Arabidopsis thaliana: one gene and its partners. The protein of the gene in region 2 purifies or fractionates together with the protein of the main gene of each other region. This does not show direct contact. Each region holds a gene or a part of one and is shown on either strand. Other genes may lie near its edges. The genes, in order: AT1G57720, AT5G12110 and AT1G09640.

What was found.
Region 1: the proteins of AT5G12110 (region 2) and AT1G57720 fractionate together in Arabidopsis thaliana (co-fractionation; one large-scale study listed by BioGRID). This does not show direct contact.
Region 3: the proteins of AT5G12110 (region 2) and AT1G09640 fractionate together in Arabidopsis thaliana (co-fractionation; one large-scale study listed by BioGRID). This does not show direct contact.

The regions. Positions count from the first base shown.
Region 1 is NC_003070.9:21,373,715-21,384,125, forward strand, and holds AT1G57720 (Translation elongation factor EF1B, gamma chain), read left to right. Parts: upstream 1-3,605; 5' UTR 3,606-4,006; intron 4,007-4,020; exon of another isoform or gene 4,021-4,109; 5' UTR 4,110-4,158; coding exon 4,159-4,167; intron 4,168-4,442; coding exon 4,443-4,592; intron 4,593-4,670; coding exon 4,671-4,731; intron 4,732-4,824; coding exon 4,825-4,877; intron 4,878-4,988; coding exon 4,989-5,090; intron 5,091-5,228; coding exon 5,229-5,715; intron 5,716-6,020; coding exon 6,021-6,400; 3' UTR 6,401-6,665; downstream 6,666-10,411. Other genes in the region: AT1G57700 (Protein kinase superfamily protein), read left to right, coding at 1-146; AT1G57730 (RING/U-box superfamily protein), read right to left, coding at 7,144-7,668. UniProt on the Arabidopsis thaliana protein: Probably plays a role in anchoring the complex to other cellular components.
Region 2 is NC_003076.8:3,910,260-3,920,006, reverse strand, and holds AT5G12110 (elongation factor 1-beta 1), read right to left. Parts: upstream 5,540-9,747; 5' UTR 5,525-5,539; coding exon 5,439-5,524; intron 5,340-5,438; coding exon 5,223-5,339; intron 5,134-5,222; coding exon 5,058-5,133; intron 4,889-5,057; coding exon 4,759-4,888; intron 4,638-4,758; coding exon 4,524-4,637; intron 4,439-4,523; coding exon 4,275-4,438; 3' UTR 3,779-4,274; downstream 1-3,778. Other genes in the region: PDE149 (integral membrane TerC family protein), read right to left, coding at 61-129, 241-394; AT5G12120 (Ubiquitin-associated/translation elongation factor EF1B protein), read left to right, coding at 1,919-3,778; AT5G12100 (pentatricopeptide (PPR) repeat-containing protein), read right to left, coding at 6,169-8,619; AT5G12090 (Protein kinase superfamily protein), read right to left, coding at 9,130-9,747. UniProt on the Arabidopsis thaliana protein: EF-1-beta and EF-1-delta stimulate the exchange of GDP bound to EF-1-alpha to GTP.
Region 3 is NC_003070.9:3,115,914-3,126,309, forward strand, and holds AT1G09640 (Translation elongation factor EF1B, gamma chain), read left to right. Parts: upstream 1-3,825; 5' UTR 3,826-4,095; intron 4,096-4,203; 5' UTR 4,204-4,248; coding exon 4,249-4,257; intron 4,258-4,474; coding exon 4,475-4,624; intron 4,625-4,712; coding exon 4,713-4,773; intron 4,774-4,873; coding exon 4,874-4,926; intron 4,927-5,045; coding exon 5,046-5,147; intron 5,148-5,257; coding exon 5,258-5,747; intron 5,748-5,859; coding exon 5,860-6,239; 3' UTR 6,240-6,629; downstream 6,630-10,396. Other genes in the region: AT1G09620 (ATP binding/leucine-tRNA ligases/aminoacyl-tRNA ligase), read right to left, coding at 1-542; AT1G09625 (uncharacterized protein), read right to left, coding at 1,430-1,654; RAB11c (RAB GTPase 11C), read right to left, coding at 2,437-2,925, 3,494-3,658; AT1G09645 (uncharacterized protein), read left to right, coding at 7,242-7,323, 8,196-8,434; AT1G09650 (F-box and associated interaction domains-containing protein), read left to right, coding at 10,065-10,396. UniProt on the Arabidopsis thaliana protein: Probably plays a role in anchoring the complex to other cellular components.

The DNA of each region.
Region 1 (10,411 bases), on a different chromosome or scaffold from region 2:
TGATTCCAGGAGAAGGAAACTTGGATGAAATGTTGAAAGAACATGAAAGACAGATCTTGTTGGCTGTACGACGAGCTCAAGCCGATAAGGCTAAGAGAGACGATAACCGACAGGCTCAAACCTTGTTTCCAGCTAATGGAAGGTGATATTTTGGGGGATTTATTCAAAATGAGTTTCTTAGAGAGAGTAGTGCAACAATAAACAAACTTTTTGGCTAAAAATCTGATGATGGTTCTTCATCATACTTGCATTTTTTTGTTTGTTAGACTTGTATGGTTTAGAAGAAAGGTTTAGGATTTAGGATCTTGAGTTGTATAGTCAAATTGCTAACAGTTTATCTGATTAATGTTCTCCATTCTTTTGGATAATCTAATAAATCTTGATCATAGAGAATAAAGATTCACCAATCACTAAATCCTACTCTGTAGTGAAAAGTGAAAACGATGTTATTATTCGTCAACGAGCTCTCAAACTAAAGTTTAGAAACCTTTTTCTATCTCTCTCATTAAAACAGATATCGAGAGACTAGTTTCGTCTTGACTGCATTAAAAGTGAGGCGTTTTCAATTTCATTCTAATATAAAAAATTAAAAAGAAAAATATTTTTCCACTGCCGAGCTTTGAACTCGGAAATCAGATGTTTAGACAGCTGTTTTAACCATTGTGCTACAGCGGATCTTTGTATAAATCAACGGATTTTGAGATAAATCTTTTTTTTTATCAACCACAAATTATTTAAAATATAACTTCATGATTGATTGCCTAATTTGGAGAGAAATAGTCTATAAAATAAATTTCCGAAAGCAGTAAACGAGAAGAGCGAACTAAACAATCCACCTTACAATTATATAAACGAGAAATATAAGAAATCGAGAAACCGGAAAATAACACACAAAGCATTCTAAACTCATCTAGTAGATTGGATAAAGTGGGTCATTCTTCAAGAGACTGCACCATCGAAGACTAACTTCTAACAATCTGTTTCAAAAGCCTTACAATCAATCCTTCTTGAAAGGATATTCTTCATAACCCAAATTAAAACTTTCATCTCCGAGTGTAGGGAGGAGGGACACCTCCGAAGACACTTTGCACCAAGAAAGACCCTTTGATCATTTCCTTGAAAACACCCAAAGATTTTCATGAACCATCAATCTAGTATATTAGAGATTGAATTGGATTAGCCAAAATTTTCCTATTAACATCGGGCCATAACTGCTAATGATCCTGACACAATTTGTCATAGAAATTTTTTAATTTTAATTTTTGCAATATTCTTTATGAAACATATGATTCTTTATGAAACATGATTCTTTATCGCATTAAAAAAAAGATATTTTCTATCGGGCTTTAAACCTGGCAATCAATTATCAATGAGATACATTAACCATTATGTTACTGCAGATCTTGGAGTAAACCAAAATTTTTTTAGATAAATCATGAATTAACCATATTCTTTTCGAAACAAAATATCTTTGAGTAAAGCAACAAATCTTTAGATAAATCATGAATTTACAGTATTAGGATTCTTTTTGTAACATATGAATATATTTTGTATATATATATACATCAATGTAAAGAATTACATGCATAAGTTTTTTTTTTTTTTTTTTTTTTAGCAACATGCTTAAGATTTACTATTACATATTTGAAGCTAAATCTAAAATTGTAAATAGTACGTTTTTAGGTTTTACAAAAGCCTTCAAATTATGTGGAATATAAACCCTAAATATTGAAGAAAAGTTATTCAAATTCTGCTTGCAAGCTCAAGAAAAATAACATTCATCATATTTTCTGCAATATTCAGATTATTCGTTGATCACCTAATATCAAAGTATTTCTTGGTTTTTTTTTTTTTTTTTTATAAGCTGCATGAATCTTTCCACTGTTTTAATTAAACTATGTCAATCGAATATGCGGAGCTGAATCGAATTTTATCCTTCTGACTTAATATTTCTCACACTCACTCACTCTCTCAATCTCTCAAGAACCACCAAAGAAAGAAAAACAGAACAAGAACAGAGGATCCAAGAAATAGGAAGAAGAAAAGACGTGAGGCTTTTACGATTTCGGGACTTGATTGAGATCCCTACGTTACGTAATACTTGCAATTCACTATCTTCTCAGTAACTGAATTTCTCACACGAAATTACATATGTTAAAATGTATATATATATCATACACAAGATGGATCCTTGCTCTACCTTTTTATAGCATGCTTTGTTACAACAACTTTTTTTTTAATTTGGTTGTTGTAAAACTTTGTTTCAACAATTATAACAGCCTTTTAACATAACATGGACATTAAACCAAACCTAAAGCGAGTCTACAGCAGCTCAATTATCGGTTCTAATCCGATATGCACATAGCCAACCCACGGTTAAAAGTTGATTTCATTTGATTTCCATCACCAAGGTCAACACTATCAACGTTTTTTGTTTTTTTTGGTCTAACTATCAAAGTTTAATTTCCCATAATATGAAGCTAACCATGCAATGTTGTAAACCCGAATTACATTTTGGTTTCTTAGACTTGATGATGAGTTGATGACTAATTGAAAACAAATTTAAGAGCTTACTAGTGTTCTCTCCAATGCTTCTTTTTTTTTAAATTGGAATTGATCACACACATATATATATTTACGCATATATGTATATATGGATGTGAACAATTAGTATTATTTTACAATAATAGTAAAAAAAAAAATGAACTTACAAATTACAAACCAAACTTGACGATATATGCATGCTCTTTGAGATCATCACACGAGTTGGTCGGAGCCACCTTTCGCAGTCTTGTCTGCTTCGGCTGGTCCATGTTTTTTCTCGGCTTTACTATCTGCGATTCTCTCTCGAGGGCTACACAAGATTCTTCCCAGAAAATGGGAAGCAATTGCCAAGAATATGATCACTATGACGATCAAACACCATTGCCAGATTGGAACCTCCATATCTTTAGTTTGGATTTTTGGTCACACAAAGTAAACGCAGTGCAGAAGAAGAAGAGGCGGAAGATGCTTGAAATTAAAGTTGTTGGTACTGTTGACCAAAAGGAGTAAGTTGTGAAGAAATGATACGCAAAGACTTGTGGAAGGTAACCAATTTTGTAAACTTCGTAGAAGAAATCGAACTCAATAAAAAAACATCTATATATGTATGACATACGAACAATAACATAGTTTAGTGGACCTACCAATAATGCCCTCTAATAGTTTTGGAAGCTACTTAATTAAAAGATTTTATTTCATTTTCACAAAGTGAAAGAAGGGTTACAAAATTCATCAATTTTGTATTTATTCAAACCCATACTTGGAGTTGGTGTATCAAAAACCTAATTATATTAATTGGCATTGTACGTGGTAACGTTTTAGTTTACATCTATGGATCAATCTTGCATAATAAGTTAATAACCCTTTTGAATTTAAAAAGCACAACACAACTTATTTTTAAAAAGGATATATCATTTTCGGATTTAAAGTTTAGTTTGTATGGTCTAAAACTTTGTTTTTGGTTGTCGTTTAGGATATCTTGGAGAGGAAGAAACCACATAGAGACATGAATCAGAGAAGTAACTTTGTGAGGTTGCTTCTACGAATTTCGATGAACTAGTGTTTCTTTTTCTTCTTTTTCAACAACATGCGAGTTTGGCACACCAAGGATATGGATACAACCAACTAAACTACATATCAAAATGGCCATGGGGAAATGTCAGCAAAATCTGTCAAAAAATGCAAAAACAAAACTCCAACTTTACTTTGGGTAAAACAATACGCTAATTTTTATTATGTTATACATAAATGCAAAAGTTATAATCGTTTAAACCTTAAAAATAAGCAAACCAAATTTGACAAAACCAAAAGCTAAACCGAATCAAACGAAAAAGGAATATTCTCCAAAACCGACTTCACACAGCCCTAATTTCCACACTCTAATACTATTTCTCGCCGCCGCTTTTGTATCTTCTTCTCTCTCGCTTTGCTCTCTCGGAATTGTTTTTGCAGAAAGTCTCTCGTAAGAATCAATCTATCAACTTCTTCTTCATATACGCTTCTCTCGTTTCAAAATTTCATCGACGATTAACTGATTTTTACTTGGTGTTTTCTTTGGTAACTAGATCTGAACTCAGAAAATCTCCGAGTTCGTATATCTTCTCCGTTTGAGCAATGGCGTTGGTAAGTACTCACTTCTGAGATCATTACACGTTTCATCAGATCCGTCACGATTGGTTTTACTGATCTGTTGATGATAGTTTATGAATTTTGATTCATGTATCTTAAATCTGGGAATATAGTTTGATTTTAGAATGATTTAGGTATCTTGGACGATTGTTTATTAATCTGAGAACTGGATTTTGTGTTGCATTGAAAAACTACTTTGGATGAATATAACTATGCAATTTCTGTTGAGTTTCATTGATGAAGTTTGTGTAAATCATACTATTTATCAGGTCATGCACACATACAAGGGAAACAAAGGTGCCAATAAGGCACTTATTGCTGCAGAGTATGCGGGTGTGAAGATCGAGGAGTCCGCAGACTTTCAGATGGGCGTCACTAACAAGTCACCTGAGTTCCTTAAGATGAACCCTATTGGAAAGGTATGGAATCTCTTTCGAGAAGTTTTGATTGATGTTTGCTGTAAATTCCTAGCTAATAAAAGATTATGATCCCACTAGGTTCCTGTGCTTGAGACTCCTGAAGGTCCCATATTTGAGAGCAATGCCATTGCCCGATATGGTATAACTTCATTTCCTTCTGTTTCTCTTTGATGCACCTATCTATAACTTGGTATTAATTGGATATGATGATTGTTTTGTTATCCCCCTTCAGTGAGCCGTAAGAATGGTGACAACTCTTTGAATGGATCCTCCCTTATTGAATACGTAAGCTCCTGTTTATCCAATGGCCTTTCCTTTTAAAATTATCGTACCTTTGTGTTTATCTCTTGTTTACTATCATTGATTCATGTCTATGTGCATGTGTTTACTTTTCAGGCTCACATTGAGCAATGGATCGATTTCTCCTCATTGGAGATTGATGCTAACATGTTGAAGTGGTTTGCTCCAAGAATGGGCTATGCTCCCTTCTCTGCCCCAGTAAGCTTTCCCTCATTTTTTGTGCCTTGTCTCATGCACTCTCTGTACTAACAAATCATGCTACTCCTTACTCGCTAAGATTAGTATTTGACTAGTCTAAGCTTGACTAATCTTTTTAATGGTTTTATCTGAATGAAGGCTGAGGAAGCGGCAATTTCTGCATTGAAGAGAGGACTTGAGGCTCTGAACACACATCTCGCCTCCAACACTTTCCTTGTTGGACACTCTGTCACCCTTGCTGATATTGTCACAATCTGCAACTTGAACTTGGGATTTGCCACCGTGATGACCAAGAAATTTACCTCTGCATTCCCTCATGTTGAGAGATACTTCTGGACAATGGTTAACCAGCCAGAATTCAAGAAGGTGTTGGGTGATGCCAAACAAACCGAAGCTGTCCCTCCAGTTCCTACTAAGAAAGCTCCACAGCCTGCTAAGCCCAAGGAGGAGCCCAAGAAGGCAGCCCCTGTAGCAGAGGCACCAAAGCCTGCTGAGGAGGAGGAAGCACCAAAGCCTAAAGCCAAGAATCCTCTTGACTTGCTACCACCAAGCCCAATGGTTCTCGATGACTGGAAGAGGCTTTACTCGAACACCAAATCCAACTTCCGTGAGGTTGCTATCAAAGGTATGTTATATGATGACTTCTGTTAATTGTTCTTTAGAAGAAATTGTTCTAGGTTTATGGAATCAACTTGTTAAGAAGAAAGCTACAAAAATCCGAGACAATGTGCTGTGACATCCTTATAATACCAGTGCTTACTAACGACTCTCTAAACAATTCACAGCTGCTCTAGTCTACTAAATTGCCTCCTAAGCTAGATATAGTAGACTTAGAGGGGTACTCACTATGGTTTATGGGACATGTATGGCCCAGAGTCTGAAAGTACATTCTATTAAGCTCAATGCCTTGAATGTTTTTCTTCATTGCAGGATTCTGGGACATGTATGACCCGGAGGGGTACTCACTATGGTTCTGTGACTATAAGTACAACGATGAGAACATGGTCTCCTTTGTTACACTCAACAAGGTAGGAGGGTTCCTTCAGCGTATGGACTTGGCACGTAAATACTCCTTTGGAAAGATGCTTATTTGCGGGTCAGAGGGTCCTTTCAAGGTGAAGGGTTTATGGCTTTTCCGTGGACCAGAGATCCCCAAGTTCATAATGGATGAGGTGTACGACATGGAGCTGTACGAGTGGACTAAGGTTGATATCTCCGATGAAGCACAGAAGGAGCGTGTTAGCCAGATGATTGAAGACGCTGAGCCATTTGAAGGCGAGGCTCTTTTGGACGCCAAATGCTTTAAGTGAAAAGGCTCTTTGTATCTCCGTAGAGGTTTACTCTGTTACTCGTGTTTTGATACCTTCTAGAGAGTCCTTACCACCTTTTGAATCGTACTCGGGTTTAAGAACTAGTTGCTTCTCAATGTTATTTTGACAGAATATTGTTCTTAAATACATTACAACTTCTAGTTATTGTTTTTATTTTGTTTTTTATTATCCAAACTCGTGTGTGTGACATTCTCTCTTTAAATTAGTTGCTTGGAAGATGCAAAGAATCTCGTTTAATGGGGCATACTGAATTTCATTTTAAAGTTGTAATATTACACGTCTCTAACTTGTCTCTAACACGTCTCTAACTTGATGATTCAGATATGTTCACTAAAACCCAAATTCCTTTTAAGCCAATCGAATGTTGGTCTACACAGCAACATTTAAGAGATAGGTGTAAGAAATAGAGCCATGAGGTGAGCTTATAAGGAGAGTGTATGTTGAACATGTTCATAGATATTAGGTCCGAGAGGCTTAAAATCACTCAAGTTTATTAAGATGAGAAGATATACCAAGTAAACCTAATTCGTTCTCTACAAAGAGTTTAATGACCAAAATAAACAAAAGGTAGATTAAGATCTTGTCTTAAGAAAATCAAATAAATCGAATCATTACTATATTATCTCAAACAAATCGAATCATTACAATATCATCTCAAGAAAATCAACAAATCATCATTCTTAACCTAAAAACCCTAAAAAAAGAAATCTTCATGACTCTGTTTAGGAGTAGTAGGGATAATCGTCGTCATCTTCATCTTCAAGAACAGTGCGGCAGAGAGGGCACAAATTACTATGACCCAACCATTTGTAGATACAGTCATTATGAAAGACATGGGGACAATTCGGCATCTCCTGATAGTCATGTACATCCTGTGACATATCCTCCAAACAAATAGCGCATGTCTTGTTTTCTAGAGGAGAACTAGAAGTGGATTCTTCGACGAATCTCACTGTGACGTGAAGGTACATGTCAAACGGCGCTGGAACTCGTTCGGATGCTAAAGCCATCTCAACGCAAAGACGAGTGCCTGAGATACTGTCTGGAAAGATTGTTTCGAGGAGAGGAGAGGTCTTGTGTGGATCAAAGTTAACGACGTCTTTTAAGATAAGTTGAGTGATTTGGAACAGAGGAGCATCATCACACTTGTCGTCGCTCTCACGCTTGAGATTGATCTCCACTGTATTCGATGAAGACTTGCGTGGACTCGGAAAGACGTTAACATCAATAGTGATTTCTGGAACCATTGTTGGTTTTTGGAATTAGAAGACAAAGGTATGAAACCGAACAAGAGACGGAGGCAGAGAGGAAGTGATGGTCTTTGTGTTGTGATGAATGTTGTTGACAAGTGATCTTGTGTTTGTTGTTAATTTTATAACTAAACCTTAAGTCGGCGATTTCCATTTTTTTTACAATTTCCTTTTTTGTAATCTCGTTTTTGTTTTTACAATTTCCTTTTTTTGGTTTTAACCTCATATTTTTAGCTTCTCAATTAAATATTATAAAATCTCTAGTTATCATAACTACGTAGGTTTTTGTAACATCTTTTTTTTTCGACATCCATAACCACTAAGATTTGTAACTAGTAAATTCTACAAAATTATCTCAAATCAAATTAAATCTCCATAAAATTTAAAAGTATCCAAATAAATCCAAATCACTAATTTAATTTTAATGAAGCATAGACAGAGATTGCCAGTGTTCTTTTGGGGGAAAGCACCTGGCTTTGCTAACTTCAGGGTTCTTAGACCATTAAGAAAATTTATAACCTAGTAATTTGCTATATATGTTTGCAATGTTAGCTAGAGAGGCATAACAGTGCAAAATCCTGCAATAGCAACATCTTCTTGTCTCTTGACAAAGTATAGGTAATGATTTTGTTGCACAGTATAATCTGTTCAGAGTATGAGTTAATCCTGTCGGTAAAAACCTTCTCTTATTTGTCATTGTGCAGTAAAACATAGTCTTAATTGTGGCTTTACAACGAAGATTATCTTCTCAACCAAATGCCTGGAGATGCAGAGGTCGAATCTTGTTTCTACTGTAATACCAAACTTGCTCAACTCTTGTCATTTAGCTTCATTTTATTTTAAGAACACAAAATTTGGGAGAGCTCTTGCTTCTAAATTGCTCAAGCTCTGTTGATTTTTTGGTTTTTTCAGCTAAAAGCTTTAGGCATAGATAATATCTTGGTTTCGAATGGCCTGCGCCTCCGTCCCATGAAGCAATGATCCTAGCACTTGAAGTACTTTATTCACTTCAGATCCTTGATGATGATGCTATACTTACTTCGCCAACAGGATTCCAAGAAGTAGAACTTCCACTGGTACTTTATCTTCTTGACCTTGAGTTATCTAAAATATAATGTTCATTTGCATTTTCTACTGCATTATTACATGTCTCCATTTCATCATTTTTGATATCGAAAATGATTTTGACTTCAAGTGAGCTTGGTTGTTCAGATGAGATCATTGTAATCGCTGCAGTTCTCTCTATCCTAGGAATAGCTCTTAACCACTTTTTCTCTGCTTAAAGTTTCTTCCATTTAACTGCATAATGAACACATTGCAAATTTGTTATTATTTGCTTTCCTGAACTATGGTGTTTGAAAACTAAGTGGATGTAACCTTAAACATATTATTACTTTGCAGTCCGTTTGGGTCATTGCCAGAGGAGTAAGCTAAAGATGAGATTATTGAAGTGGTTCAGTGGGATTCTCAGAAGAAGAAAATGAAAGAGACACGTACAAGTAAATGTATCGGAAGAGTTGTCTCAAGACTGCTCACTTCAAGAATGTACAGGTGTTGTGTATATAGCTTGATGGACAATTTATCTCAAAGCTAGTGTCAAACTGGACTGGAATTGGTCTTGAGAGGAAGCTGAGAACTGTCAATGAAATTCTTTCGAAGATCATATCTTCAAGAAGAGAGGAGAAAGAAAGCCACAAGCTTTTGAAACGGAGAAATGATAAGTTTATAAGAGATGTGGTTTTTAGTCTAGTGTTAGCAGGAAGAGATACCACAAATTGATCAGCTCTCACTTGGTTCTTTTGGCTTCTTTCTAAGCATCCACATGTTATGTCCAAGATCAGCCATGAGATCAACACAAATCTAGTGTCAGAAGATGAGGAGGAGTCCTCCAAAGGATGAAAAAATGCAGAGAAATCAAGCTGCATTTAGAAAGACAACAACTCAGGAGCATCATGAGTAGACTACATACATAAGAAGAAGAAGTCATTGTTCTATGTGTCTGTTCTTGTAATGATCGAGAGAGAAACAAAGCTCTATTTCTGATATCACATTTGTCTGCAGCTCCACTTTATTCTCCAGCTTGTCAACTCTAGTCATCAGACACAAGCTCAGTATCTTTGACACACACCTGGATATATCTCTTGATCCACGTTTTCTTCAGATGAATATTGAATGTATAATTTTACCCATATCTTATTAAGATGGAATGAATATTAAATTTATGTCATAAATATAGGCTTCACCAAAATCAAAAGCCTTCTAATTTTATTTTATTTGGAGTTTTCATTGTTGAAGCTTAAAAAATACTTTTTTTGTTCAACAAAAGTGACAATTTTATAAACATATTTCAAAAATTAATTATGAATTATTATTTAGTATGATAACATATAGATTTCTCTAAGGAAAAATGAATGTTGCATTATTGCATTTTATTTTAATTTATTTCTGAAACATGCATTATTTCATTACAGTCGTATTGCAGATTAGAAAGATTAAAGGCGGTTTTGTAAGCGTTACAAAGATTCGAGGACCGGGCAGACACATTTTGTTAATACGAACGTAATAAACCCATATGCGTAATTCATGACTCTATTTAATCCACTAACACCTTTTTATTTATATGGACGAGGATGCTCTAATACTTTATTGACGATATTAATTAATTTATGAGCATGACGTGGGACAAACACCGTACTTAGTACGTAATACAAGTAGTTATAACGTGGGAACAAACTAGTAA
Region 2 (9,747 bases):
TGACACAGACAATTCAGGAAAAAAAAAAACAGAAGAAAATATTGGAGAAGAAGCATTCACCTTCATCTTCCTGATCAATACCTCTGGAACACGCGATAGGAGGAAGATGAGAGAGACGACGATTGGCAGCTGAAAGAATCGTAACCCAGAAGCACATTAGCATGACTCAGATAGATGAATCCTTCTTCCATTCACACAGATAAGGAATATAGAAAATGTAAAGAAAGAGAGAAGGAGGACCTGAAGCAAGAGAGGGATTTATAAGGAGAGAGAAAGGAGACTTAGTCCATCCACGAGCTCTGAAATCCGGCGGGAACACCGGAATGGTAAGAAAGATTCGATCCGATTTGGCCGGAGGGAGAATTCCGTGGTGGATAACTGAAGCTAAGCTCATTGCGTTTTGTGTCAAATCCAAAAACAGACTCCGAGTGACCCCAACTATATCAATCGGCGAAGACCACTCAAAACGTTGTCGTTTCAGATATTAGACGATGATACCCCTCCTTTTGGCTGGTTCATTGATTTCGGTTTTGAGTTTTCCGGTTTTTTAGATTTTTAATTAATACTATGGTACAGTTTTAGATTGAGTTTGGTTCTAATTAAACATATCATTAGTCTTCAATGAGTTTTAGATCTTTCGTTATCGGGTTGACTTTTGATACAACCATTAATAGTATGACTTGCATATTGGCGAGATGACTCATTAATTAAAAAAACACATCATGAAGTCATGGTTTGTCCAAAAGTCTTTGAAACCATATGTTGTTCATATGTGAGAGACTTAAGAATATAGAGTTTTCTCGACAATTGAAAAGTCTCCTTAATCCACCAAGTAATTCAACAAGACGTTATTGTTCAGTAAAGTGCATTTATTTTTTATTTTTTATGCTTAGTTCTTACTTTTGGATATTATTTTCTAACAGAATCCAATTATTAATTGTTTGTTGAAATTTGTACAAACCTTATTAGTTGTGTGTGTTATCAAAATCCTTAAAACTACAATACTTCTGTCCGAGTCCTACCCATGTAAATCTAACATGTTTAAATTAATCAGTTATGTTGACAACTGAAATCAAAACAAAGACAACTGGAAATGAACCTAGAAGAAAAAAAAAACTGAAAAAATCTAATAAAAGAAATCAATGGCTCAGACTTTGGTTTGGTTTTTGCTACTCATTTTCGGTTTGTTTGTTAAGAAATTAAAGAAAAGAAGGAAACAAATCAAAATTAGTCTAAACCAAACCCTAATTTGCCAATAGGTGTTATCGATTTGGGGATTCGAAACGCCGAGTTTATTCTCTTTTTTGGTATTATTCATATAATCGCACTCTCCTCTCGTTCCTCATCCTCATCGCCTTGAAGCTCTCTCACCTTCTTCTTCTTCTTCTTCTTCTTCTCCGGATCTCGCTTCTCCGTCAACGACTCCGATCAACCTACCAGGTTCATCTTTCTCTCTCCCGTCCCGTCAGTGATCTATTACTTCGATTTGGTTTCTTCTTCCAAATCTCGCATTTCCTTTTTCGCCTTTTAGGTTTCCTTGATTCGTTCGAATTTCGTCCCTCTATAGCTCAAATATGGTTTCTTCTTCTTGTTATGGATTTGATTTCAACTGCTAATGCTTTCTTTGTCGCCGCGAATTTGCGTTTTCACCTTATTCGATTCAGAATTGATCTCCGGAGATTGTTGTATCGTCTTTGATTTTCTGATTCGTTCTTGCAATGGATCCATTACGTTTGTGATATCAACGATGTAGTAGTAATAATAGTCGTCTCTGTGGAAATCTATGTTGAAGAATCTCCATCTTTGACATTGGAGCTCAAATCACCATTGATATTAGATATAGATGTTAAGAGAAGATTATTGTGTTTACTTATCTCATTTTTTTGTGAAAACTGTAGGATAACTTTGTGTTGAGAAGATGTCTAGTGCATCCAAGATGAAATCGAGAGACAAGAAGGTCATGAATGATTCACAGAAGACACCTAGTAAAGCGTCTGGATCCATGGGTGGAAGTAGTGTTGTGGTTGGTGGTTATAATCCACTTTTGGGGACATTTCAAACCATTGAGTCGCTTTCAGCAACTGGCTCATCATCTCTTCACAATAATGGCCGGTTCAGACACATTGATGAGTCGGATTCAACTGGAGCTGACTGTGATTCTGTCTCTAATAATGGTAGCTGGTCAGGTGAATCTGAAGATCACAAAGAGAAAGTACCTAGTACTAGTATTGCTGCAAAACAAGAAATCATTCCTGGAGCTGACAATGACAAGCGAGATAAGATGCGTCTGAAGAATGAAAGAAAGCATCAGCGTCAAAAGGAAAAGCGAGCTCAGGAGTTGCATGAGCGATGCTGTCAGTATCTCATGTCGAGAAAACTTGAAGTTCATGCTCAGCTGATTATATCTATGGGGATTCCTCATGAGCGGGCAACTTATGCTCTTATGTTGAATGAAGGGAAAATAGAGGAATCTATTAATTGGCTGTTTGATGATGGTGGGGCAAAAGTAGCAGATAAGAAACTAGATCCGACCTCTGGGAACTTAAAGCTTGACATATCACAAGAGTTGGGTAGAATCTTAGAGTTGGAAACAAAATATAAGTGCACCAAGCAGGATGTAGAAAGAGCTGTGGTTACAGCAGAGGGGGACATTGAGAAAGCAGAAGAAGCATTAAGAAGACAGAAGCAAGACCAATCTACTGCGTCTAGAAAACCAGAGGATATTAGTGATAGTACTTCTGTTAACAATAGCAAAGTCCCTTCTGTGCTCACAAGTCAGAATACAGTAGGCCAGTTACAACCTAACTCAGGTATGTATCCTGCAGGCAGGGAAGAAGCCCTTGACAGAAAGAATCTCGGTTACCCCAGAGGATCCAGCTACATTAGTGGAGAATCCGAAAACCAAAGTGTAAATTCGTTGGAAAGAATTCACATGAAGTTGCAGTGGATGAAACTGCAGCAAAATGCCCCCCTTGAAGAGAATAAACGCATACCATATCAACAGACACCACTGTCTCGATCAACAGAAGAAACACATTATGTGACGGCTCTAGGCGATCAATTCAAGAGGCTTCAGCAGCAAGATATGAGGGAACCAGTTATGGTGATGCAGCAGCAGCAGCAACAACAACAACGTTCTCAATCCGCTAACACAAATGTGCTACCTGTCTCTACCATGAATGCATCCTTTACCGGAGCAGCAGCAGCAGGCAGCGGTTGGCACCCTGCAAATAGATCTGAGGCGGCCCAATCTAACGGATACTTGCCCTCAAGAAGTCTGCCTCCTAATGATCTGAACTCAAACCTGATGTACCAGCAACTTCAGTATCAACAATATCAAGGCCAAGTGAACAACAATGGTCACAGAATGGCAGGATCTTCTGCTCCGCCTGCTGTGGCTCCAGCTGCTTCTCTTGGGCTCTTCTCGGGGTTTGGATCACTGGCGGGATCATCTTCTTCTGGGCTGGACTGGAACACGGATGGGTCACTGGGGCATTTGGATTACAACAACATCGACTGGAGTCTAGATAAAGGCCTAGCTTGTGTGAGACCTAGCCAGCAGTATGTGGCAGCATCATCCCCATATAGTGCAGCATCATCCCCGTATGAAGCGCACATGAATGGAAGGACAAGAATGATGACGAATGGGAATGGGATGGGTGTGGCAATGGGAGTGCAGGAAGCTGCTTTAGTTGGAAATGGGAGAGAGTGGACATCGCCTTTTGAGGGTAAAGATCTGTTTAGTTTGTCTAGACAGTATGTGCCTCCTTCGCTTTAAAGGTGATAAAATGCTCTTCTTCTAGAATAAAGATAAATGAAAGGAGAGAGAGAGAGGTGATGGATGATATGAGTTTGTGGTTACTGGTTTTATCAAGTGTTTCTTGCTTGTTTGCTCAAAATGGATCTTTCAAATTTCCTTATATTTTATATCCTCCCCACATATTTAACATGGAGCTACCAAAATGCTTCTGAATATCACACCATCATGTGCTTTCTTCTGTTATAGCCTAGAAGAGGGTAAGCAGTAAATAAGGGTTTGGTATTTCAATGTGGTCACATATTAGGCCTTTTAACCGCAATTCTTTCCACACGTTACCAAGCCCAGGCAATTTATCTTAGACAAGAACTTACAAATAGCTTTTAATTAAGACCAAGTGAAGTGAAGTTAATGTGCTTCAACTCCAAAGTTGGCCTTGGAACTTGAAGAAGAGACTTTAGCGAAACACAACAAGACTGACACCAAAACTGAAAAACTCGACATCTTTCTCATGTGTCTAAATCTTGTTAAAAGCGACAATATCGACACTTTGGATGTACTCGTTGTTAGGCTCTGAGGTGAGATGGTCTTCAATGAGGTTGTCCACAGACACAAGGTCATCAACAATTGTCATCATGATTGTGAGTTTCTTTATCCCGTAACCAACAGGTACCAATTTCGCTGCAACAAATTGCTCACATCAGAAACCAAAAAAAAAAAAAAACTTGAGCTCTTGTGCAAAATAGATAAACATTCTTTGACTTACAAGCTCCCCATGTAAGACCTGGCATCTGAACACTACGAACAGCTTCTTCTAACTTCTTCATGTCGGTTTCATCATCCCATGGTTTTACTTCCAGTAGCACAGAAGATTTTCCACCTAACAAAAAAGTTAAAAGAGAATAACAAAAGTAACCAAACATGAGCAGGATCTCAAGATTCTAACAATTTACACTATAATAGTCCACAGTGATCCAATCCAAGTTTAGAGAAAGACTTACTCTCTTTAGTCTTCTTAGTATCTTTCTTAGCAGCTTCTCTCTCTTCAGCAGCTTTTTTCTCATCTTCAGTCTCATCAGCGAAAAGATCAATATCATCATCATCATCACCATCACCATCAGCAGCAGGTTCCTGCAGATATAAGTTGAGGGGCAAAGCTAAATTACAGTATACAAAATCATCATTCCAACAGCACCACAATTGCATTTTCCTCTACTTGATCTCACACTATCAAATAATTGTTTCAATTCTACAAACAGATTACATTGGCGTCATTCCATATTTTGACTACTTTTAGTACCTCAGTATGTGGATGAGCTTCAGATGGAGGAGCAACACCACCACCAACTCTCACTCCGTCTGCTTTCCCGGGAAAACTGAAACATTCAAAGAAGTCATCATTCTCCAAAGAGCCATTCAATCAGAAGATCAACAAGAAGCAAAAACGAATGAGAATAAAACGAACCTTTTAGCTAGGTGAGAAGCAACAGAATCGTACCACTTGCTAGCATTGGGAAAACCATCACCTGGATTCTCCAATACGGCAGCGTAAACCTTCACATCATCAACCGAAAGCTGATCGCTGAAACAAAACCGAGTTCCAAGATGTAAGTAGAAACTGTGCAAAATCTAAGCTATTGATGAATGATATAGCAAATTATGAAAGAATATGCGTGTTTACCCGGAGATGTACGTTTTACCGGCGAGATGTTCCTCGAGGGTTTTGAGACCTCGCTCTGTGTGGAGATCAGAAAATGTAACCGCCATTGATGCAGCTCAAGTTAAGTTTCTGTGGAGAGAAGACGAGCTCACTCACTCTAAAATAGGGTAAACCAGAGAATGCCTTGAAGAGATGCTTCTAGTGACTTTGTGGGGCTAATTTTCTTTTCTAGAGTGTTCCCTCCCACCGTGCCACTCACACGTTTGAAAACTCTACTAAATTTTTGTTTGTTTGTTTTTTTCTCATTTATGTTTTGGTGATTTTTGACTTATGTCACATCATTCTAGTACAGTCCGGTTTACTGTTTTCTGTAAAAAACAGTAAAAGCTTGAGACATTGCGTATGATACAAATTAGTTCTATCTCATTTTCAAAACAGATAACTAGAACAAATGGTTTACTATTCTTACCTTTGTTAATCTACCAATCAACCTAAAGCCTAACTCAAAGTCATTGTACCTATCGTAAATTACCATAAATATGGATCCCATAAAAACGTTGTGGACTTTTAAGGTCCTCAAAGAAAGTTTCGGTCATGACTCATGACATCTACTGGTGGATAAGATAAGTCAAAACCTTAACCGAGCCAAACCAAACTGAAATCATCTACGGAGCCCTGATTCGGACTGACCAGATTGGTGGAAGTGAACCAGGAGTCAAAGGATTTATCTTGAAGCACACATTATTGATTTTCAAAGCTTCTCTGTTGCAGATAGATCTTCATCCACTGTTACATCACCTAGCATGCGACCATTCATCTCAGAAATGACAATCTCTGCCTCCTTTGACCTCCATTCTTCTTTAAGCCCACTCACTAGCTCGTTGCCTATGCAAACATCTAACAGAAAACCCTTCTCTTGCATCTCTCTGTACCAAACATATGCACTCATATAATCTTTCACCTCGCAATGCCCTTTCACTATTATGTTATATGTATCAGCTTCAGGTTCCATTTCCCGGGCATTCATCTCGTCAATCAAACTCCTAACCTCGCACAGTTTTCCTACCTTCAGTTGTCCCAGAATCAAGCTGTTATAGGTTGTCTTATCCAAACCGATACTCTTTTCAATCATCTGCTTCTGCAAATTAAAAGCCTTTTCCATGTCTCCATGTACGGCGTAGCAATGGAGAACCCCATTGTAAACTAATAAGTCTGGTTTCAATGACATCTCTCCAAATAATCTCTCTGTGAGCTCTATCCCCTCCTTGGTACACAAACTGATCAAAAGATGATATGTCTTCAGAGTGGGTTTTATTCCTGATCTCTTCATCTCTTCATAGAGCGCGATACATCTTTGCACGTTTCCAGCGAATCCATATCCAGATATTAGTGAGTTATACGTGAATACATCTGGTTTGAGACCCTTTCTTGAGATTTCAAGAAGTAAGTCTTCAGCTTCTGATAATTTTCCGGTCATGGACAACCCATCAATGAGGGTGTTATAAGTCACCAGGTTTAATTCTATTCCCTTTTTGAGCATCTCCTTAGAAAACCGGAAAGCGTCTTCTATCTTCCCCTTTGAGCAACAACCATCGATTAGCATGTTATATATCCTTACTTTCGGTGAAACCCCTCTATCTTCCATATCCCTCTTAACAATCTGAGCTTCAAGAAGTTTAGAACCTTTGCACAAACAATTTATCAGAGTTCCATAGCTAACTACATTCGGCATTGTCCCGTTATCTTCCATTTCTTTAAGAATGTCGAAGCACTTATCAAATTCATATTTTCTCCCATAGCCCCCAATCAGGATGTTATATGTCTCCACGCTAGGAGAAACTCCCTTCAGTTTCATTTTGTTAACCTCTTTCTCAGCATTCTCCATTTCCCCCAATTCACAAAATCTCCTAATCAAACAATTATACGCCAAATGATCTGGCTTCATCCCTTGTTTCTCCATTGCTTCAATTTTCATACGAGCACCAACCAGATCACCTTTTCGACAGTATCCATCAATCATAGTGTTATAAATAACCTCGTTCGGGACAAGCCCCTTAGCCATCTCTCTCCCCAAAATCTCTTCCGCTTTCTCGATCTTTCCTTCTTTGCACAACGCATTCAACAAAATGCTACAAGTATAAGCATTCATTTTCACGCCAGAATCAACCGCAGTCTCATAAACACCCAACGCAGCCTCAGCTTTCTCGTTACTCGAATAACCATCAAACAGAATACTGAAGGTGAAAGCATCTGGTACAAACCCCAGATCCTTCATTTCCTTCAAAACATTCTCTGCATCTTCCACCATTCCAGCTTTAAACAGCCCCTTAAGCAAAGTATTAAACGTAATAAGACTCGGTTCGATATGATCCGCTTTCATACGTTCTCTCACTTTAAAACTCTTTTCCGGATTCCCAGCTTTGCAATATCCATCAATCAACGTGTTATACGTTATCAAAGAAGGTAACAATCTTCTTGCAAGCATTTCGTCGAACAACTGTTCTGCATCATTCATCCTTTTCCCTTTACACAATCCATCAATAAGGACATTGTAGATAAACACACTGGGATAGATTCTATCGTGCTTCATCCGGTTAAACAGCTCTAAACCTTTACCTACATCGCTCAATTTCACAGCAGCTTGAATTGCTTTCCCATACATGAACTTACTCGGACGAAAATCAGATTCGAGAATGTTCAAAAACACGTTTATAGTCACTCTGAATTGTTTCGTCTTCACAAGATGATCAAGCAAAAGCGTTAACGAATCTGAGCTGGGATAAATACCTTCATTCCTCAAAGCGAAAAACAAATCCGCAGCTTCAGAAATCATCTTCGATTCGTTTAGTAGCACGGAGAGAAGCAAGTAGGAGAAATCGTGTTTCAACGACGGAGATGATAACGAGAAGGCGGAGAAGAGCTCTTTCGGCGATGCGAAAGGCGTAGAATCCGATCGAAGCAGCGAAGAGAGAACGCCACGCGCCGTTTCGATTCGATTCTGCTGGAGAAGAACTCGGAGATTCCGTAGCTTTTCGTCTCCGGTGACGGGATTCGTAGGCGGGGCTTGTTCGGGTTGAGATTCGGGTTCGGGGTCGGTGGAGGCAGAGAAGAGACGACGACATGAGCATGCTGAGACAGAGTCAGTGAACTTGACGGTGGCGTAACGAGAAGATCTCGAAACGAGTCTTAAGCGAGTCACCATCGTTGAGCTGCCGGCGACGCTCTGCAAAAGTGAATCTTAACGAAATAACCTTAAAATAAAACGAATATTCGGACATGAATAGAACTTTGATAATCATTTTGAAATTAAAAACAAAATTGTTCATTTCATTGCTTGATTATACTGTTTGATTAAAGTTTTAAGGAAACTTTACATTTTTCATTTCTTGTTGTCACACACTAGTATCACAGGTCACAACAAGGTAAGAAGCTATTGCAGAGCAATGTTCTCTCTGCCATGTATGAGTTACCTTGTCACGTTTGGCTTATGCACTAATGAGATAGTAAGCTATATTAATTTCACCATCATATCAATTTAACGATTCAAAGCACCTTGGATCGCATATACAACACACAGTGAAACCTATTTAAAGATGTAAATACGTAATTATCCAAAAAAAATACTTCAAAGCAAAACTAAACTCAACAGTACTAATCTCGTAAATTACAGATTGATAGGGATGAGTTATTTGCATAATTGTGATCTATACACTTATAATAAACAGAGATCACTACTGTAAGAAACGAAACTAGAATCCAATTCCAATGGTTTCGGATGAATCATCTTCTTCAACCTCAAAAGTTTACTCAAAAGTTTTTTAAGTTGTGGAGGCTTAGATAGAAACATCTTCAATGTCAGGGGCTTCTCTCTAATACCCATTGTTATCTTCGAAGCTTGTTTGATTCTCAATTTCAACTTCACCAGCAAGGGTTGCTTCTGACACAAAAACGGATGCAATAACAACTCAGACGCGGTACCTCTCTTCTCATGTTCCCTTGCGAAACACGTTTCAATAAACTCTCTTGCATCACAAGGCACATATTCAGGAATATTTGGAGCTTCACCATCACTAAGAAAATTCACGAAATCGACACTAGTAACTCTTTCCCATGGCTGCTCACCTGTATAAATCTTCAACACTAAGCACCCTAACGACCACAAATCTAGGGTTTTCTTGGCAACACCGTCGAAGAAAGACTCAGGCGTTCCCACATACGGGTAATCACTTTTCCAGTGATCCGGAACTTCTCCGACTTGTCTACAGTTTCCAAAATCAAAAATCTTTAACTCGCACGAAGCAGAATCTTTCCGAGAGAAGATAAGAAGGTT
Region 3 (10,396 bases), on a different chromosome or scaffold from region 2:
GGCTCTCGGAAATTTGCAATCTCACTGTCAGTAAGACCAAAACTGCGCATAATCTCCCACTGATAAACCTGTCCACCAGCTTTGGCAGCAACCTTAGACTTCTTTCCCTTGAACTGACCCGGAATCGGTAAAGCTATAGTATCACTGCTCTCCTCCTGAACTTCAGGAACTTTGGTGGTGTCTTCAGCAGTAAACACAGGAGGGTTACCAAACTGTTCAATCTCACGACGAAGCTTATCCGCAGAAGCCTTAATTGGCATACCAGTACAATGGAAACCAAATGGAAGAAGCACATTAGCTCCTCTTAGCCTATGGTAAGCAGAAGCAAAATCAACCTTGGACAATGAAAAGGCATGCCCAATGTGTAGATAACCATTCATATACGGGAAAGGGAAGGTTGAGAAAAACTTTTCTCCTGGTTTTGGAAGATTCTCACAAGATTCGGCTCTGAATACATCCTCGTCTTCCCACCACTTTCGAACAGTGGCCTCAATCTCAAGAAGACGATCTCTCCTAGCGTAGCTTTTCGATTCCGATGCCATTAAGTGACAGTGCCTACCCCAAAAAAACGCAAACCTCTAATTTAGATATCGGCTTCTTAAGTGCAACACAAAAATCGGTAGATTGAGTCTACCAGCTTGGGGAGAGAATTACCTTAGGGATGATGAACTTTGAGGAATCACGAATCGAGCCCACCGCGAAATCGATCCGAGATTTGACAGAGACAGAGCCAGTGGGAGAGATAAGTAATGGTTTCTAGGGTTTTTCTTTAAGACTACCTTCTTCAGTCTTTGGATTCGACGGCTGATTATTAAACTGAACTAGTCTCGCCAAAACCGGATCCAAGTCAAACCCATTTAGAATTTGGGCCACATCCACTAAAAGGCCCAGATATTTGGGGACTTCAAAGTTTTTTTTTTTTTTTTTTTTTTAACTAGTAGACGTTCAATTTCTTTTTCTTTTTTTGTTTTTTTTTTTTTGTTAAATAATATTCATGTTTTCTTTCTCCTCCCCTTTTCAAATGTTACTGGTTTTTTATTGTGCGATGCTTATGTCGTATATTATATATGGTGGATTGTTTAATGGTATAATTTCATTGTATTTGCAGAAATTTAGATTTGCATGAAAAAAAATGTTGAGAAATTTGAGTTACACCTCAAACTTGAAAGATTAGTAATGGAAGCAAATCTAAGAGACTAATAGTTAAAAGAATTCTCGACTTTGGTTCTAGAGAATGTGATTGATTAATCCTTTCAATCTTTCATCAACACCACACAACATGTTTAGTTAGTTATGATAAGATAAAGAAACCATACATAGATAACATCTTTCAAACTCTTTAGATTCTCAAGAGTCTAACCTTTGTTAAAAATAAGAAAACTATATGATAAAAACAAGGGATGCAAAACAAATATATTGAAAATTTTCTTCAAACGAGATTATTATTTGGCTTAGCTTGTGCCTTCTCGTTCGTCTTGCTCTTACCATCTTCTTTCACTGGATCCTTCTTCTCCAAAGTTACAGAAGACGACGCTTTACCATCTTCTTCTATCTCAAGAGGTTTCGAGCACCACCTATCGAGCAAATTGCATAAAACCGTCACCATTATTATTCCTGCGACGATAATACACCATCCCCAGATTGGGATCTCCATCTTTTTTATGTATTTGTTTTCAGTGACAAAGAAACAAAGTAAATTGTTTGTTGATGATTACAAGTTGCTTAAAAGTTGTTGATATTATAGGAGGCGGGAACTACTCGAAAGACTTGGAAATTTACCATTTTGACAAAAAACTTGCTAGAAAATAACTAAAATAAAAGTAAATCATTCTTCTAATTTTTTTCAATTTATCAACTTTAAAAGTATATTTCCTTTTCTTCATAAATCTCATAAACTAGCAAAAAGATAATGTCATAAACTAATACTATAAAATATATATTTTGTTTTTTTTGTTCCGTCAAATATATATTTTTGGTTTTGCCTGTATTCTTGTTGACTTCCGTTTTTTTTTTCCCCCTTTTTTTTAATTAACTTCCTTTCTTTGCTTTTCCATTTCTTCTTGATTGAAAAATGTATATTGTGTGATTTTGTCTACTTTATTTAAATTATCTTTGAAATCGAAGAATTTCTGCTCTATTAAAAATTCAAACTATAGTCTACGTTGGTATTTGTTTATTTCATTTTATACTCTGCTTATTTTTCTGATACTACATTACAACTACCACTCAAAACTACAATTAATTCCCTAAAAATATTTTTCGTTTCCAAAATTTGTTTTGTGTGAACGATTCCGAACTCCACAATTGATATAAAAAATTATCTTTGAGTTATATTATCAACAACAGAAAAAAGAAAGAAAACAAATACAACGCAAGCCTTGAAATAAAGTCTCATAGATATTTGGCTTTTTTTAAGTGCAACACAAACAAAGCCTTTCAAGACGATGAGCAACAAGGCTTCTTAGCGTTTGATTCAGAAGTAGCAGCCACATCAATTGTTTGGCCTTCCTTGATGTTGGCATTTGCAGTTGTCTGGTCTGAAGATATCGACTTCTTGCTGATGATCCTATAAACCTCCGAGAGAATCGTCTGAAAAGCCTTTTCTACGTTTAATGCCTCGAGAGCCGATGTCTCGATGAAAGATAAGCCTTCTTTCTCTGCATAGCTCTGAGCATCCTCTGTGGCAACTGCTCTGAGATGCTTCAGATCTGTCTTGTTCCCAATCAACATGATCACTATATTGGAATCTGCATGGTCTCTTAGTTCTTTTAACCACCTGCTTACATTCTCAAACGTTGTTGGCTTGGTGACATCATAGACCAAAAGAGCTCCAAGTGCACCTCTGTAATAGGCGCTAGTTATGGCTCTGTATCGTTCTTGCCCAGCCGTGTCCCATATCTGAGCTTTCACAGTCCTTCCTTCCACCTTAGAACAAAGATCATAGGTTTTTTAATAGGTTAATTCAGATCTAATGAGCAGCAGACTCTATGATTAGTGTGTCTGCAACAACAAAATTAGTAACTTCGCAGCTAAATTCCACAAACAACCCAGTAAGAAAACTAGAAACTGTGAAACAACAACCATGATTCATACTTCAAAAGAAAATCATGTTCGAGATCAATTTCAGATGAAGAGATTCTTAGATCTGCCTTAAACAAGGTTTTAGATCTGACATGTGAGGGAGCCTTACACTACCACGTACCAGAGTATCGACAAATTTGGGAACATTATCAATAAAACGCTTAAATTAAGAGATACCAAAGCAAAAATCTCGACCAAATGAAAAAAACAGGCACCACACATGTAAACATCAAAATTCAAAACCAAGCCCAAATGTTCCTACACACAATGACTGCTTCCGAGTATTCATACGAACACAGATACGGATCGAATCGAAAAGCACCGGATGCTGCTTAACTTAGAACTAAACCTAGATCCAGCAACATTTCGATTACACTATATACTATATATATAGAGAGAGATGTGTGCGTACTTGGAGAGTACGAGTAGCGAATTCGACACCAATGGTGGATTTGGATTCTAAGCAGAACTCGTTGCGAGTGAATCTAGAGAGGAGATTAGACTTGCCGACACCGGAGTCTCCGATCAAAACCACTTTAAACAAGTAGTCGTATTCTTCGTCCGGTCTTCTCGCCATTGTTACACTTTTCTCGAGGAGTGCTTTAGATTTGGGATTTTGAAATAGAAAAGGAGAAGATGACAGAAATAAATAAATAATTTAATTTCTCTTTCCCCTTGGATCTTCTCTATTCAACCTTCTCGGCTTGTTATTGCCCAACGACGAAGACCTTTTCTTGTCAAGTTGGGCTTACTAAAAAAGCCTACATATATGTAATTCATTTATACATGCTAATAAAAGGGAAAGTAATTAGAGCTTAACCGGAAAATAAACAAAAATCAGAAATAAAACCAAACAAAACCGAGCCAAACCAGAGGAATACACTCAATACAGATTTTAAAAACCCTACTTCTTCATCATCATCCCTTCAACACTCCTTTATAGCTTTTCTCCGCCTCAACTTTTTGCTTCTTCTCTCTCGATTTGCTCTCACGGAAGATTCTTCAGAATATCTGGTAAGATCCATCGATCGAACAATCTTTTTTTCTCCAGTTAGCTCATATTCATATTTATGATCATGTCAATTGCGAGCTCACTGCTTGATTTTTTTTCCTTGGAACCAGATCCGATATCAGAAGCCCCAAGTTCGCTTGAATTCCGTCTGAGCAATGGCTTTGGTGAGTTCTCTATGATTGTCTACTGTTACGATCGCATCATGTATCGATATAATTGTAGAAACGTTAGATTTGTAAATTTTAGGATCTAAGTTTATAGAACGATTGTTCATACACCAAATTGATTAAAATTATGTTAGTTTGGATATGTAGCTACTCTATTGTTAAGTTATTGATTTGGAATACGTATTATTGTGCTGATGATGAATTACGATTGCAGGTCTTGCACACGTACAAGGGAAACAAAAGTGCTGAGAAGGCACTCATTGCAGCAGAGTACGTTGGTGTGCAGATCGATGTGCCCTCTGACTTTCAGATGGGTGTCACTAACAAAACCCCTGCGTTCCTCAAGATGAACCCTATTGGAAAGGTTTGTCATCACTGGTGTTTGCTAAATTTCTGGACTGAGTATTATTAAGTCTATTTTTCAGCTAACCAAGAGTTATTGATCTTGCTAGGTTCCTGTACTTGAGACTCCCGAGGGTTCAGTATTTGAAAGCAACGCAATTGCCCGTTATGGTAAAGCATTCATAACTTTCTCCTTTAATTGTCTCTCAGTGTCTAGTTTGATTGCTTGTTGTCGTTTGGGTTTAATGGATCTGTTGATATCTCAATACAGTAAGCCGATTGAATGGTGACAACTCTTTGAACGGATCCTCCCTGATCGAATATGTAAGTAGCTGTTTTTTCCCTGGGGGCTACTCTTCTCTAATCCATTGACACCTCTTCTATTGTTTGTCATTCTATTTGTTAGTATTCTCAATGGTTATCTGCATGTTGTTTTTTCGCAGGCACAAATTGAGCAATGGATTGATTTCTCTTCATTGGAGATCTATGCAAGTATCTTGAGGTGGTTCGGCCCAAGAATGGGCTTTATGCCATACAGTGCTCCGGTAAGCTTTTTTGACTTTCATTGGTTGTTTCATTCACTCTTTGTGATGGCAATCTAGGTATTCTTTTCACTATATAAATAGTCTCATCCGTGATTGTTATATAAATGAAGGCTGAAGAAGGTGCGATCTCTACGTTGAAGAGAGCACTTGATGCTCTGAACACACATCTCACGTCTAACACTTACCTTGTCGGACACTCTATTACCCTTGCTGATATCATCACTGTCTGCAACTTGAACTTGGGATTTGCTACTGTCATGACCAAGAAATTTACCTCTGAATTTCCTCATGTTGAGAGGTACTTCTGGACTGTGGTTAACCAACCAAACTTCACTAAAGTGTTGGGTGATGTCAAACAGACTGAAGCTGTCCCTCCTATTGCTTCCAAGAAAGCTGCCCAGCCTGCAAAGCCCAAAGAAGAGCCTAAGAAAAAGGAAGCCCCAGTAGCAGAGGCACCTAAGCTTGCTGAAGAGGAAGAGGCACCAAAGCCCAAAGCCAAGAACCCTCTTGACTTGCTACCACCAAGCCCTATGGTTCTAGATGATTGGAAGAGGCTTTACTCAAACACCAAATCTAACTTCCGCGAGGTTGCTATTAAAGGTGTGTGGTGATATCTTCCTCTACCTAGTTTTTCAGCTTTGCTATCAGGGAATTATTTAGCTATTGGAATCAATTGTTTTTTATCATGTCTAATATTGTGGCTCAAATGCAGGATTCTGGGACATGTATGACCCAGAGGGATACTCACTATGGTTCTGTGACTACAAGTACAACGATGAGAACATGGTGTCATTTGTCACGCTCAACAAGGTTGGTGGGTTCCTTCAGCGTATGGACTTGGCACGTAAATACTCCTTTGGAAAGATGCTGATTTGTGGGTCAGAGGGTCCGTTCAAGGTGAAGGGTTTATGGCTGTTCCGTGGACCAGAGATCCCAAAGTTCATAATGGACGAGGTGTACGACATGGAGCTGTATGAGTGGACTAAGGTTGATATCTCAGATGAAGCCCAGAAGGAGCGTGTTAGCCAGATGATTGAAGACGCAGAGCCATTTGAAGGTGAGGCTCTCTTGGACGCCAAGTGCTTCAAGTGAGAAGAGAGAATGGTTTGGTACTTCCATTTACAGGTTTTGCAGCTGGGGCTTTACATATCTTTCTATCTGTCTGTCTCACATAGGGGTTTTGCTCTGTGACGTGTCGCATAGACTGTTTTTTTCTTTTCTAATCGAGTGTCAAGGACAAGTCTTTTTAGTTCTTTGTTAATGTTTCGCCTCCGTCCAGAATTGTTTACTATACCAGTTTTCGAAATCCTGACCGGCCAGTCTACCCTGGCAATAGGCAATACATGGTCTGGTTTATTTGTTTTACGGTAATTTTGCCTTGATTGATTTTCTTTGACGCGTTTCGGTCAACTTATATACATTGGTCTTTGAGTTGAACATTTAGTGGTAAAGTCTTTTTGGCACATATATTGAACATTTTTCCAATTTTAAAAATTGCTGAAAAAGCAAACTCTTGAAGAATAATAAGTCTAGTTAATTTCGTAGAAGAAGAACTGGCATGTTCATCTCGAAATTAACTAACGAATAAAAAAAGGTAGACAACTTAATACGCCACACAACTCTAATAAAAGAACATGTAACTTATGACAAAATAATGTAACATTTGTTCATAATATTTTTCGTATCAGATTATATATACAAATTGCTGATTATAATTATTATTCGCTGTTTGACCAAAAAATAAAAAATTATTGTTTCGCTGAGAAATGTATAGATAATTATATTATACGTTAGATTGGTAACTACCAAAAATATTACTATATGTTAGATTGGTCACAAAATAAGAAAAGAAAGGTAGTGTATATCAATTTATTAATGACGTATTTAATAAAGTTGGTCTCAAGCGAAATGAATTGTTCTTTACTGCTACAAGGCATATAATCCTGTAAAGAAAATCTGGGTGGTCGAATTGTTCTTTTCCCTTTTTCTAATTTCAACATCAAAAGTTGTTCCACCAGAAGAATTTGTTCTCTGCAGCAGTAAAGATCGATCCGTTCTTGCTTACAAGCAGAAAAATCATATCGACAGAGAGAGATGAGACAGAACTCAGCAACTGGTGGTCTTTCATGGCGGCGTTTACTGTTCTTCGCTTCGATTGGTTTGCAGTTCTTCTTAGGTTCGTCTTCTTCAGATCTATCTGATTTCATTTCACTTTTTTGTAGAATCCTCATCTGATTTAGTATTCCTTTGGGATTTTAGGTTCTCAATTCGCTAGATTTATGTTATATTTAGCTCAACTTGGCTCTTTCTAAATACTACAGTGTGTTTAATCTTTACGCATTAGGTCTTTTGCGATCAGGATCGAAACATGCAGATAGGAAGATTGTATTTCTCTTTTGAGTAGATCTTGGCCAAATCACTAACTTTGTGCTTAACATGTTAGTGAAGAGAAAATAAGCAAAGAGGATTTTACCGTTCAGTTCATGGGTTTGGTGTGGTTATAGTTTCTTTTACTAACTTCACTGGATAATAGTTGTTTACCTTTGTCCTAAATGCGAGACCATGTCCTGATTTGAAGAGGTTGTCTGCAAAATCTATTGCTTTTGTGACAAGTATTTATATAATTCCTCAGTTGTTTCATGGTGATGCTGCAGTTGACTAATGAGATATGTATTTACTTGTTGCCTATAGTTTTCAGACATTTAAAGTTCTTACATAAGCTATTTATACAATTGGCCACCATGTGCTTTTAAAAGAAGTAGGCTCATCTCTTTCTCTTTCCCGTAAATTTCTTTAAATGCATGTTGCAATTGATCTTGTTCTCTGTTGTCTATGTGTGTAGCTGTTGTTGTTCCCCTTTAGTCGAATATAAGAAACATGGTAACTATTTGAGGATAGACTGTGTAGCTTTAGCTGACTAGTGAGTGTCTACACGACAAGATTTTACAGTCACGAGTGCACTTGAGGACACCATAAACCTTGATTTTTTTTTGTTGTATATGCTAAGAGGGCATCTAGTAACTAAGTCTTCTGATATGATATTTTCAGGTCTATCGGGTGATTCCAAGAACACGAATGCAGGAGTTAAGACAGAATCTCATACTTCTTCCAGCAAAACAGGCACAAAAGTTATCCTTGTTCTAGTTGGATTTGTGGCTGTGGCCATGTTCTCGTTCTTCCTATACAAGCTATGGCAAAAGAAGAAAAGAGACGAGCAGTATGCTCGACTGTTGAAGCTGTTTGAGGAAGATGATGAACTCGAGGTTGAATTAGGTCTTCGAGATTAAAAACGCAAATTTGTCAACAAAGGCCTCATGTTTGTTTGTGTTCGTTTGTCTGAGCATGTAGGTGGAACTTATCACTTATGGGTATTTAAATTTGAAGTATATATATACGCATACTTTGTTGGGCTAGTAACTGATGTAGCTGTCTTGTCACTAATCATCATCAGTTCATCAATTATCCTCTCCAGACGATTGTTTTCCAATGTTGTACAATTCATTTTTCTTTCTTTCACTTTTTTTTGACAAATAGCGTGAGTTTAGGTTCTAAACAAATTCGATGTAAGTTTAGGTTCTAACCCTCTAGACAAATTAGTTAAGAGATCTGTGTCCCTGTCTTAAGATTCCTAGAAAATTCTTACTCAAACGATTAGATTTAAGAAACAGAAAGTGTTGAGTTTTACTTTTCCTTAGACCATCTCCAATGGAGATTTCTTAACATGTCTTTTTTTTTTTTTTTTGAATTTAATATTAAATTATATTCAAGAAAAAAATAAAAACTGGTTTATAAATGAATGCATACTGTTTTTAAATAGAGTACAAAACTTTTAAAGTAATCCTCAACTTTGTCTTGACGCAAACCATATTTGAAGTCCGCTCGAGTACTTCAAATCACCTCTGCTTTGAATTGTACTTTAATTGTACATATGTGTTTCTTAAATCTCTTTGTTGTCTAATTGTGGCGGACATTTGAAGTAATTTGAATCTGAACCTTAAATCTCAAAACCAGTAGATAATGAAGAGTAAAATAGACACATGGAGAAATTCAAAACTTAAAATGAAATTAATGTTTGTGTTTCAAAACTCAACACATTATACAGAAATTATCAAGTGGCTTGTTCCTCATGTCCCACTGACACACAAAGAAGCTGCAAGCAAACTCCCTCCTCTTATCATATTTTTGTCTGCCTACAAATATTATGGGCAACAACCTTCATTAGAAACTCCCTAGTGTATACCAAATCACAGATGTTGATAATTAAGGAGGGATTAACATTCATGTCAAAAATATGAATCAAACAATCTAGCCTAAACCAAGAGAGAACTAAGGATTACAGAGGAACGGCCACCGAATAAATCCAACAAAAATACAAAAGAAATTGAAACTGGGAAGATATATATTCATCTACATACCTGTTCGAGTTCATTTTCGTCAAAAACGGTCAATTGCAAGAAGGGTTGGTACGGTTCTTGGCTCCTTTCTTCTTCTCAGCTTTCTCATCAAGCGGATACTTTGCTTTATCATGCTCCGGCAACAGTAGAAGATCCTCTATGTTTATGTTTCCATACTCATCAAGCGGTTTATGTTTCCATGTTTTTAATCTTTTTACCATGGATTCATATGCATATGTTTCAAATTCTATGTTTGTAACCTAAACTATTTTTCATTAACTATGAAATATTTACAATTTAGAAAAAAAAAATGTTAAGTAGATAATAGGATTAGGAGATCTGTGCCGCGCGCGTGAGAGGAAGATCCTTTTTCCTTGATCTGATGAAAAGGAAGTGTTGAGTTTTGAGAAACGGAAAGTGTTGAGTTTTGTCTTTTCTATAGAAGATTTTTGTTTTCCTGTTTTATCTATAAATAAGCCTCTTAAATCTCTTCATCAACAATGACTTGTCTGCAATTACAAGAATGTCGAAAAAGCAACGTTGCTTGATGATGGAATCGCTGCCCCACGAGGTCGTAGAGTGCATCCTAGAGAGACTTGATGCGGATCCTCTGCTGAGATTCAAGGCTGTATCGAAACAATGGAAATCAACTATTGAATCTCCATTCTTCCAGCGAAGACAGTTCACACAGCGTCAGCAATCAGGTAATCCAGATGTTCTCATGGTCTCCCGTTGTGCTGATATTAATTCGGAAATAGAAGCTCTTACTACATTGGTGTTGGGTTCATCATCATCTGTCAAGATCCCTACTCCTTGGGAGGAGGAGGAGGAGGAGGACAAAGAATACTCTGTTTC